Linked DNA regions of Canis lupus familiaris. The protein of the gene in region 1 purifies or fractionates together with the protein of each later gene. This does not show direct contact. Links are inferred from orthologs where the notes say so. Each region holds a gene or a part of one and is shown on either strand. Other genes may lie near its edges.

Region 1 (4,036 bases):
TCCTGGCTGTCACTCCTCAACAGTCCACAGCTCTCACCCAGGGAGGCAGCCTGGAACCGCGTTAGAAGTCTTTCCTAGAACAGCTTTCACAGAAACGACTCTGATTTCAGCTCAATCACACTGCGCATCTCTGATACTTAGCTACACAACTACAACAGCAAATAAAAGCACAACAGACCATGCGGGGAGGAAGCCACCCCGTGTGGCAGAGTCACCTGGGCACGGAGCCACCTGCCACAGGCGGCACCCGAGGGAGGGGGACCCCTGGGGGAGGGGGACACCCGGGGAGGGGGGCCCCAGGGGGAGGGGGACATCAGGGGGAGGGGGACACCTGGGGGAAGGACACCTGGGGGAGGGGGGACATCGGGGGAGGGGACACCCGGGGACACCAGGGGACGGGGTACACCAGGGGGCGGGGAGACACCCGGGAGAGGGACGCCCAGGGGGAGAGACACCCAGGGGACACTGGGGGAGAGGGACACCCGGGGGACACTGGGGGGAGGGGGACGCCCGGGGGAGGGACTACCCGGGGTACACTGAGGGAGGGGGACGCGGCGCGGAGCCGCACGTGCTCCCGGGACTCTGGACCCGGACGGACTGACAGCCCCCGCAGGCCACGCGTCCAGCGCCGGGAGCCCGGCCTCCACGGCGCCCTACGCGTACGGAACACGGCTGACGCGCTGCAGCGCCTCAATACGTCGACCCCCCGGAGGCCGCCCGCCCCCCGCCCCACCGCCGCGGACGCGCAGGACCCGGAGCCCTTCTTCCTCCCGATCCCGGGCCCGCCGCGCGCCGTGGGCCGACTCGCCACCACGTGCGGCCCCGGGCCCCGCCGCCCGAGCCCCGCCGCCCGGGCCCGCTCCCGCGTCACCTCCTCTGGCTCCGGCGCCGCCTCGGGCCCCCCCGGCCGCTTCCCGGGTCGAGCCCCCGTCGCCGCCGCCGCACCGCCCGCGCCCCGAGCGCCCGCCATGCTGCCCAGCCGGTCACGACCCGCACCGCCACTTCCGGCAGCGCGGGCCGCGTGGGGCTGGGGGCGGGGTCTGCGGGGGCGAGGGGCGGGGCCGGCCCCTCCCCTCCCGGCCTGACGGTGGGGCGGGGCCAGCACGCGCAGGCGCGCGGCGGTCGGAGACGGGGCGGGGCCGGCGTGCGCGCGCCAGGGTGACGCGAACGGGCGGCGCCGGCGGGAGCGCGCGCGTCGCAAGATGGCGGCGGCCATGCTAGGCCGCGGGGCCGTGTGTGCGCAGCGGGCGGCGGCGGCGGCGCTGCCCCGGCGACAGGCGCGGCGGCGGCGCTAGCCCGGCCCTCGGTCCCGTTTCGCGGTCGTCACTTCTGCCTCTCCCCGCCTTGCCCGGCATGGATCTGCCCGTGGGCCCCGGCGCGGCGGGGCCCAGCAACGTCCCGGCCTTCCTGACCAAGCTGTGGACCCTCGTGAGCGACCCGGACACCGACGCGCTTATCTGCTGGAGCCCGGTGAGGGGCCGGGGCGAGTACCCAGAGGGTGGGTGTGGGGCGGGGCCGGGGCCTGCGCTCGCTGTCGGCCGCTCCGCGCGCCGAGGGCCGCCGGCGGGGAGGGAGGCCTCTCAGGTCCTTCGCTCCCCGTCGGACCGTCGCGGAAGTGGGTCTGCCCGGAGAACAGAGCCCGGCCTCGCAGGCCACCGCCGTGCCCAGGGGACCCTCTCCGTTTTCTCAGATGAGTTCCAGGGCGGGATGGCCGGCGGCTCTTCGGAGAAAATTAGGACGCGGTGCGTGGACTGGAGGTCGTCGCTCTGGTGCGAAAGGGAGAGCCACGAAAACAGAAAGTAAAACGTCACAAAGTTCAGGTTGATCTCGAACCCATAGCCAGAGATACTGGAGCTGGGTCTCCCCGGAGCAGCTTTGTTTTTCATTCCTCATAGGGCGTCTTTATTCAGGTCCCTGTCTTCAGTTGCCTGGCAGCGGGCTTGTTTACAGGGTTTGGCCCTGCAAGACCGGACAGCTCCGGTTTTGCGGAGGTAAATTGGAGAGTGTGTCTGGAGTTGAAGATCAGAATCTGCTGTTCCCAGCCTGGCTGTGATGTCGTGTCCCGGGGAGGCCAGAGCCATACCCCGGGGCCGGCAAACGGGTGACCCCGAGAGAGGCCACACTGGTCACGCAGAGCCTCTGGGTGCCTCCAAATATGCTTGACCCCTCGAGGGCCAACATGCTGGGTTTCTGACTTTACTAAGCACTTCCCTTTCGTGCTCTGAAGCCATTAGGAATGAAGAAGTGTTCAGGTCGAAGCTAAGTCTTGGCTTGTCTGTTTGCCCGAGCTCTGCTCTGCCTAAAGATTGTCTGGGAATAGGGGATCCCTGGGTGGCTCAGCAGTTTGACATCTGCCTTCAGCCCAGGGCGTGACCCCGGGGTCCTGGGATCGAATCCCTTGTCGGGCTCCCTGCTTGGAGCCTGCTTCTCCCTCTGCCTCTGCCTCTGCCTTTCTCTCTCTCTGTGTCTCTCTTGAGTGAATAAACAAAATCTTAAAAAAAAAAAAGAAAAAAAGAGAGAGACGGGAAATAAAGAGACTAGGTATTATGCCATGTTCTTATTGGAGACACTGTTTCAGTGATACGCGTGTGGGCACTCTCCATTCCCCAGTGCACTACCTGTTTCCTACCTGATGAGAGGCAGCACCCTGAAGTGGGGAAGCATGCCATCCCCTCTTTCCAGACTTCGGATTTTTCTAACCAAAGGAAGTGACCACACATTTGTATCTTCCTTTATCTTCCTTCTTCCTCTTTTTCCTTCCTCTAACTTCAAGGAAACACTCTTAACCCAGATCCAGGAGGGGCATCAGAGATGCCCTGGGATAGTCCAAGCCTAATCCTACTATGGTGATTTATCCCACCTTCTAGGGTGCCCTTTAATCTGCTTGCTTTTTCTGATTTTTTTTTTTAAGTTTTTTTTTAGAAGATTTTTTATTTATTCACGAGAGACACACACACAGAGAGAGAGATGCAGAGACACAGGCAGAGGGAGAAGCAGGCTCCATGCCGGGAGCCTGATGTGGGACTCGATCCCCGGTCTCCAGGATCACACCTTGAGCTGCAGGCGGTGCTAAACCGCTGCGCCACCAGGGCTGCCCGCTTTTTCTGATTAAAGATTGTGAGGCATGTGGGTGAAGCGTCCCCAGCTTTCTCTCCAGGACCCACAGCCCGTATCCTGGGCAAGGCCTTTGAACAGGAATGATCAGGCTTGTGACAGCCTTTGCTTACAGTGGCTGCCTATGTGGGTTTGTCGAGGGGCAGGGGGATGGGGAACCAGCCTGAGCATGAGTACGTGAACCTTCCTGGTCTGTATGCAGGTCAGGCAAGACGTAGTGGTAGGGGCTGGCACTCACAATGAATACAGAAGCCAGACAGTAGCTCAGCAGTGGAAGGAAGCCCTTTCCAGGCCGGGTGGGGGGCTGCCGAGCTGCCTGGCTCAGAGACAGGAGATGGTCTGTACCTGTGGCCTTGATCAAAAAAGTCCACACAGTGTCTTCTGCAGAATTTTGGCCCAGAGTGTGACTCTCAGAGGCCTTGGGAAGCTCTGATGTCCTTGGTTTTGGTGCCCCCCACCCCCACCCTTTGTTTTGAAAGTTTTCTCACAGTTCTACCAAGAGAAACTCACCATGTTTGACCCAGGGGACAACAGGCAGTCAAAGGTGTGGTGGCTGACTCTCCAGGCTGAGTACAGTGGGGGATGGGGTCTAGCCCCAGAAACCCTCGCCAGTGGGGCCAGGTTGGGACAGCACTGAGCTTCCTTTGCCAAGCATGACGGACAGACCACAGGTCACTGCCCCGTACAGTTGTGTTGACCTACTGTCAAATCCTCCTACAGTTAAAGACGCACTGAATATGGAGTCTGAGGTGGATAAACAAGGGTCTTTAGAGATGCAGCTGCCCCCCACCCCCAGGTCCTGCGACCCTGCAGCTCCTGCTGCTGCAGGGAGTGAACTTGGCCACCGGGAACACAGCCTAAGGGTGTGCCACAGCTCTCCTGACCTACAGCCTGTGCTTGTTCCCCTTGCCTCCCACCCCCA
Region 2 (3,950 bases), on another chromosome or scaffold:
CACCGCCACCGAGGGGACAGAGAGAGAAAGAAAGCCACCGACTTCACCGCCTCCGAGCTGCTCCGGGTCCCGGGTCTGCGGCGTCTCCGGCCCTGCGCGCCTCAAGCTCCAGCCACATCCGAGGGGGAGGGGGCTGGGGCGCTGCGCGACGGGCAGCCGCTGGAGGGAGGGGGGAGGGGAGGCGGTGGTGGCACCGCCCACGCCGGGCGGCCGCGAGGGGCGGGGCGGGGCGGGCGGGCGCGCGCGCCCGGCGGGGGGAGGGGCCGCGCGCCGCGCCCGCCGGGAACCCGAGCCCGGGGGCAGGTGGGAGGCGGCGGCGCGGCACTTACCGTTCGCGGCGTGGCGCCTGGTGGTCCCCGGAGGGGAGGGAGAGGGAAGCAGAGGCGAGGACGGTGGCCGATCTTCTAGACGGAGGCGTTTCTGTTTGGCAGCAGCAGCGCCTGGCGCCAAAACCGGGCTCCGCCCACTTCCTCGCCCCCAGAAGCGGGTGCCTCGGAACGCTAGGGGTGAGGGAGGGAAGACAAACTTGGCGGGGGCAGCCGGGAGCTGAGGGGAGAGGCCGCCTCGCGCCACCCTCTCCAGAGACCTCTCCCGAACCGAAGGGGTCTACTCCCCGGGACGTTGGCCAGGGTCAGCTCGGCGGAGCGTGAAGTACGACGTGTTGACTAGAAGTCGCTTCGGGTGTTTCCGGAAGGGGCCGAGTCAGTCCTGAGCGCGGGGGGCGGGGGGGGGGCGGTTAGGGGAGGAAAGTCCCCGGAGGGAGGCTACAAAGATTGTTCTGGCGGGAGACCCGGGGGCGGGGAGCGGCGCGGATTATCGGAGGCTTAACAGTAGGGACCACCCCCCGGGTTGAGGGGGGCAGGACTTTAGGGCCGTGCGTTAGGCTCCTCCCGGCAGCGTTAATTTCAAACTGCGCGACCGTTTCTCACCTGCTCTGCGCTAAGGCGGGGGCTGGCTCCAATTCCCTGAAAGAAAAATACGCAGCACTCGAGCCTTCCGCGATTCACGGAGGGCACTTGCGCAAGTGACGTCAAGCACCGCTACTGGCTGCCGGGGGGGAGGAGTACGTAGCTGGCGTAAGGAGGGCGTAGAGCGTTCCCGCCATTGGCGGCGGTTAGGGCGTTTACGCAACGGCCTGACGTAGGGGAAGACGCGTTAGTCGGGGGGAAGGTTCTAGAAAAGCGGCGGCAGCGGCACTAGCGGCAGTAGCAGCAGCGCCGGGTCCCGTGTGGAGGTGCTCTTAGCGGTGTTGTTTCTCGAGCAGCGGCAGTTCTCACTACAGCGCCAGGACGAGTCCGGTTCGTGTTCGTCCGCGGAGATCTCTCTCATCTCGCTCGGCTGCGGGAAATCGGGCTGAAGCGACTGAGTCCGCGATGGAGGTAACGGGTTTGAAATCAATGAGTTATTGAAAAGGGCATGGCGAGGCCGTTGGCGCCTCGGTGGAAGTCGGCCGCCCGCCTCCGCCGGAGAGCGGCGGTGAAATTGGGCCGCTTCCAAAGCGGTTCGCCTCAGGATGTTTTTGGAGAGGGTTCGCTGGCCGGGGCCTGATTGAACAGCGTCTTCCCCACCCTTAGCCTGCCGGCGCCATTTCCCTTTGCTGGGGGTGGGGGATGGGGAACTTCCACATGGCGGACGCAGCCCTTCTTCGGCGAAAAGTGGGGCGCGGAGGCGGGAATTCTGACTCCCTCTTGAAAGCACGCTGATTTGGGGGGCCCGGCCTCCCCGCGTTTTGAGCTTTTCGGCGGGCTTCGGCTCCTCCTGAGGGAGGCTGCGGAGCTTCCCCTCCCCCCCTCCCCTCTCCCGGGAACCGGATTTGGCGGCCGCCATTTTCATTCCATTCCTTCCTCGCAGCGTTTTTCTTTTCAACCTCTGGATTCTGCTACTTTGCTTCTTTTATCGAAGAATTAAAGTGGTTAACTATTTTTCTTTCTTTTCGGGCCACTTTCATGCCGTTTCGAGGTGGATTACGAGTGTTTTGTGAGCTTGGATCTTTAAAAGTCCTGCGCACCTCGTTAGAGGCTCTTTCCCTTCCCCTCGATGAAATGGCGCCATTGCGTTCAGAAGCCACACCGAAGAGCGGGCGGGTGGGGGAGTCGGTTCCCCGGGGCTGGTTCGCCCTGTTTAAGAGGAGGTAAAGCCACCCATGGTGTCGGGCCCAGTTTTAAGTCGAGCCGTACCACAAAGACAACATTTCGTCTTCCAACCCCTGTTTTTTGTTTTTTTTTTTTTTTTTTTCCTGAGTAACGGTTTTATCTGGGTCTGTGGTGGTTAAAAAGCTAGTTGAGTCACAGGAAACTTTAAAAATAAAAATTGGGAGCCATTAAGTGAGTACCGATTGTGGGTGGCCGTGGGGAAGGAGGTTTGGGGGAGGGTGTCGGTTTCACAATTTATTTTCCTGAAGGATTTCCTTTTGAATTGTAGGATTTATTTATGTTTTTAAATAGTACTTTTCCTGGGAAAATCTTTACTACCTAAGACTAGAGGTACTGGCGATAAGGTAGAAATGAAAGAGGAAAGTGAAAAATGATTTTTTTTTCCTTTAGTTTGGTTAAAACGTGGCTCAGTCCTTCGTTACGAGAAACGACTGGGCCACCATGTATTTGAACTTTGTCATTTGCTTTTCTCATCTATGTTTGCTATGATGGTTGATGATTACATTGATAAGAATAAGGTCTCGAGCGAACGGGGCCTGATTGGGTATTTTCTTTGACCTTAAGCACACTTATAAAATAACTTTGTTTGTAATCGATAGTGGACATCGGGTAAGTTTGGAAAAAAAATGAGGTAAGTAATGAATTTTGCCTTTTGTTAGTGATGTGTAAAAATTATTGTAAATGTGCAGCTTTTAAAAAATGCGTAATTTGGGTTGTAAAAGACCAAGTTACGCTAATTAAATAAGTTACTTTTAAGTACCAATGTCAGATAATCGTTTAACGGGCTATTTTTGAGTGTTTTAGGAGTTTGATAGGTTTTTTTGACCTTTAAAATTTTTCACGATTTTGGGAACTGTGCAGGGAAGTCTAATTGAATGCTTATCACGTTATTTTTTGAGCTGTTGGGGAAATTTTCATGCATAGAGGAAGAAATCACAACGGAGTTAGCTGTAATACTATTTGCTGATAATTATTTTCTGTTGTATGGAAAGTCATATTTGACCTCTGATTTGTATTATACACTCACTTAGTTGCTTCTAGACGTTATAATTTGTTGTGGTATCTGAATATTTAAAATTTTTAACCTAGGTATGTGAAAGTGTAGCAACCCATTTTTTCTTTTAATGACAGCTGAAAATATAGGGCTGTTGATGTATTTGCTTGGTGGTTTATAGGGCTTAAAATTTTTCAGCCCAGGTTTCCCACACACACACTTGTAAAATCAGAGACATTTGTGCTGTGTAGTTTGCCAGATGGCCTTTAAGGCCAGTACACCTGAGTTTTTGAGGGGGGAGTTTCTTCTTCAATGAAGTGTAAATTGTACAGAACTACTAAGTAGTTAGCAGTGAGCATTTAAAGTTTAACGGTTTTTGATTATAGCAAACATTTTACTGCATTTTATAGTTTAGTGTAATGATCTGTGTTCTGTAAATACCAAATCTAAGCGCCTACCAAAAAGCAGGTATGTTAAATTTTTAAAGCTCCAAATACCCACTGTTGGTCATAAAAACTTTTGTTCCATGGTCAGAAAAAAGGCAGATTTTATATAGATATTTTGGTATATACATTGATAAAAGTTTTCATCATGGAGAGAGTGGGGTATGAAGGGAAAGAATGGTTTTTCTTAGCGGTTTTTTTTTTTAATTGAGATACAATAGAATCACCGCCAGAGGGAGCAATAAAGGGAAAGTAAATGTCACTGTTAAGACACTGAATCCTGATATGGTAAATTACACGCTATAAGTAAAGCAACAGTTTTAATGTTAAACCGTATGTTTATAATGCGTATTTAAAAGC

Evidence for each region. The genes of interacting proteins can lie anywhere in the genome.
Region 2: the proteins of HSF1 (region 1) and HNRNPA2B1 purify together in Homo sapiens (affinity purification with mass spectrometry; 3 studies listed by BioGRID, with this or other methods). This does not show direct contact. The link is inferred for Canis lupus familiaris from reciprocal best matches to the Homo sapiens genes HSF1 and HNRNPA2B1.

What each region holds. Positions count from the first base shown.
Region 1 is NC_049234.1:38,476,860-38,480,895, forward strand, and holds the start of HSF1 (heat shock factor protein 1), read left to right. Parts: upstream 1-1,226; 5' UTR 1,227-1,353; coding exon 1,354-1,470; intron 1,471-4,036. UniProt on the Homo sapiens protein: Functions as a stress-inducible and DNA-binding transcription factor that plays a central role in the transcriptional activation of the heat shock response (HSR), leading to the expression of a large class of molecular chaperones, heat shock proteins (HSPs), that protect cells from cellular insult damage.
Region 2 is NC_049235.1:39,597,797-39,601,746, reverse strand, and holds the start of HNRNPA2B1 (heterogeneous nuclear ribonucleoproteins A2/B1), read left to right. Parts: upstream 1-1,138; 5' UTR 1,139-1,373; coding exon 1,374-1,379; intron 1,380-3,950. UniProt on the Homo sapiens protein: Heterogeneous nuclear ribonucleoprotein (hnRNP) that associates with nascent pre-mRNAs, packaging them into hnRNP particles.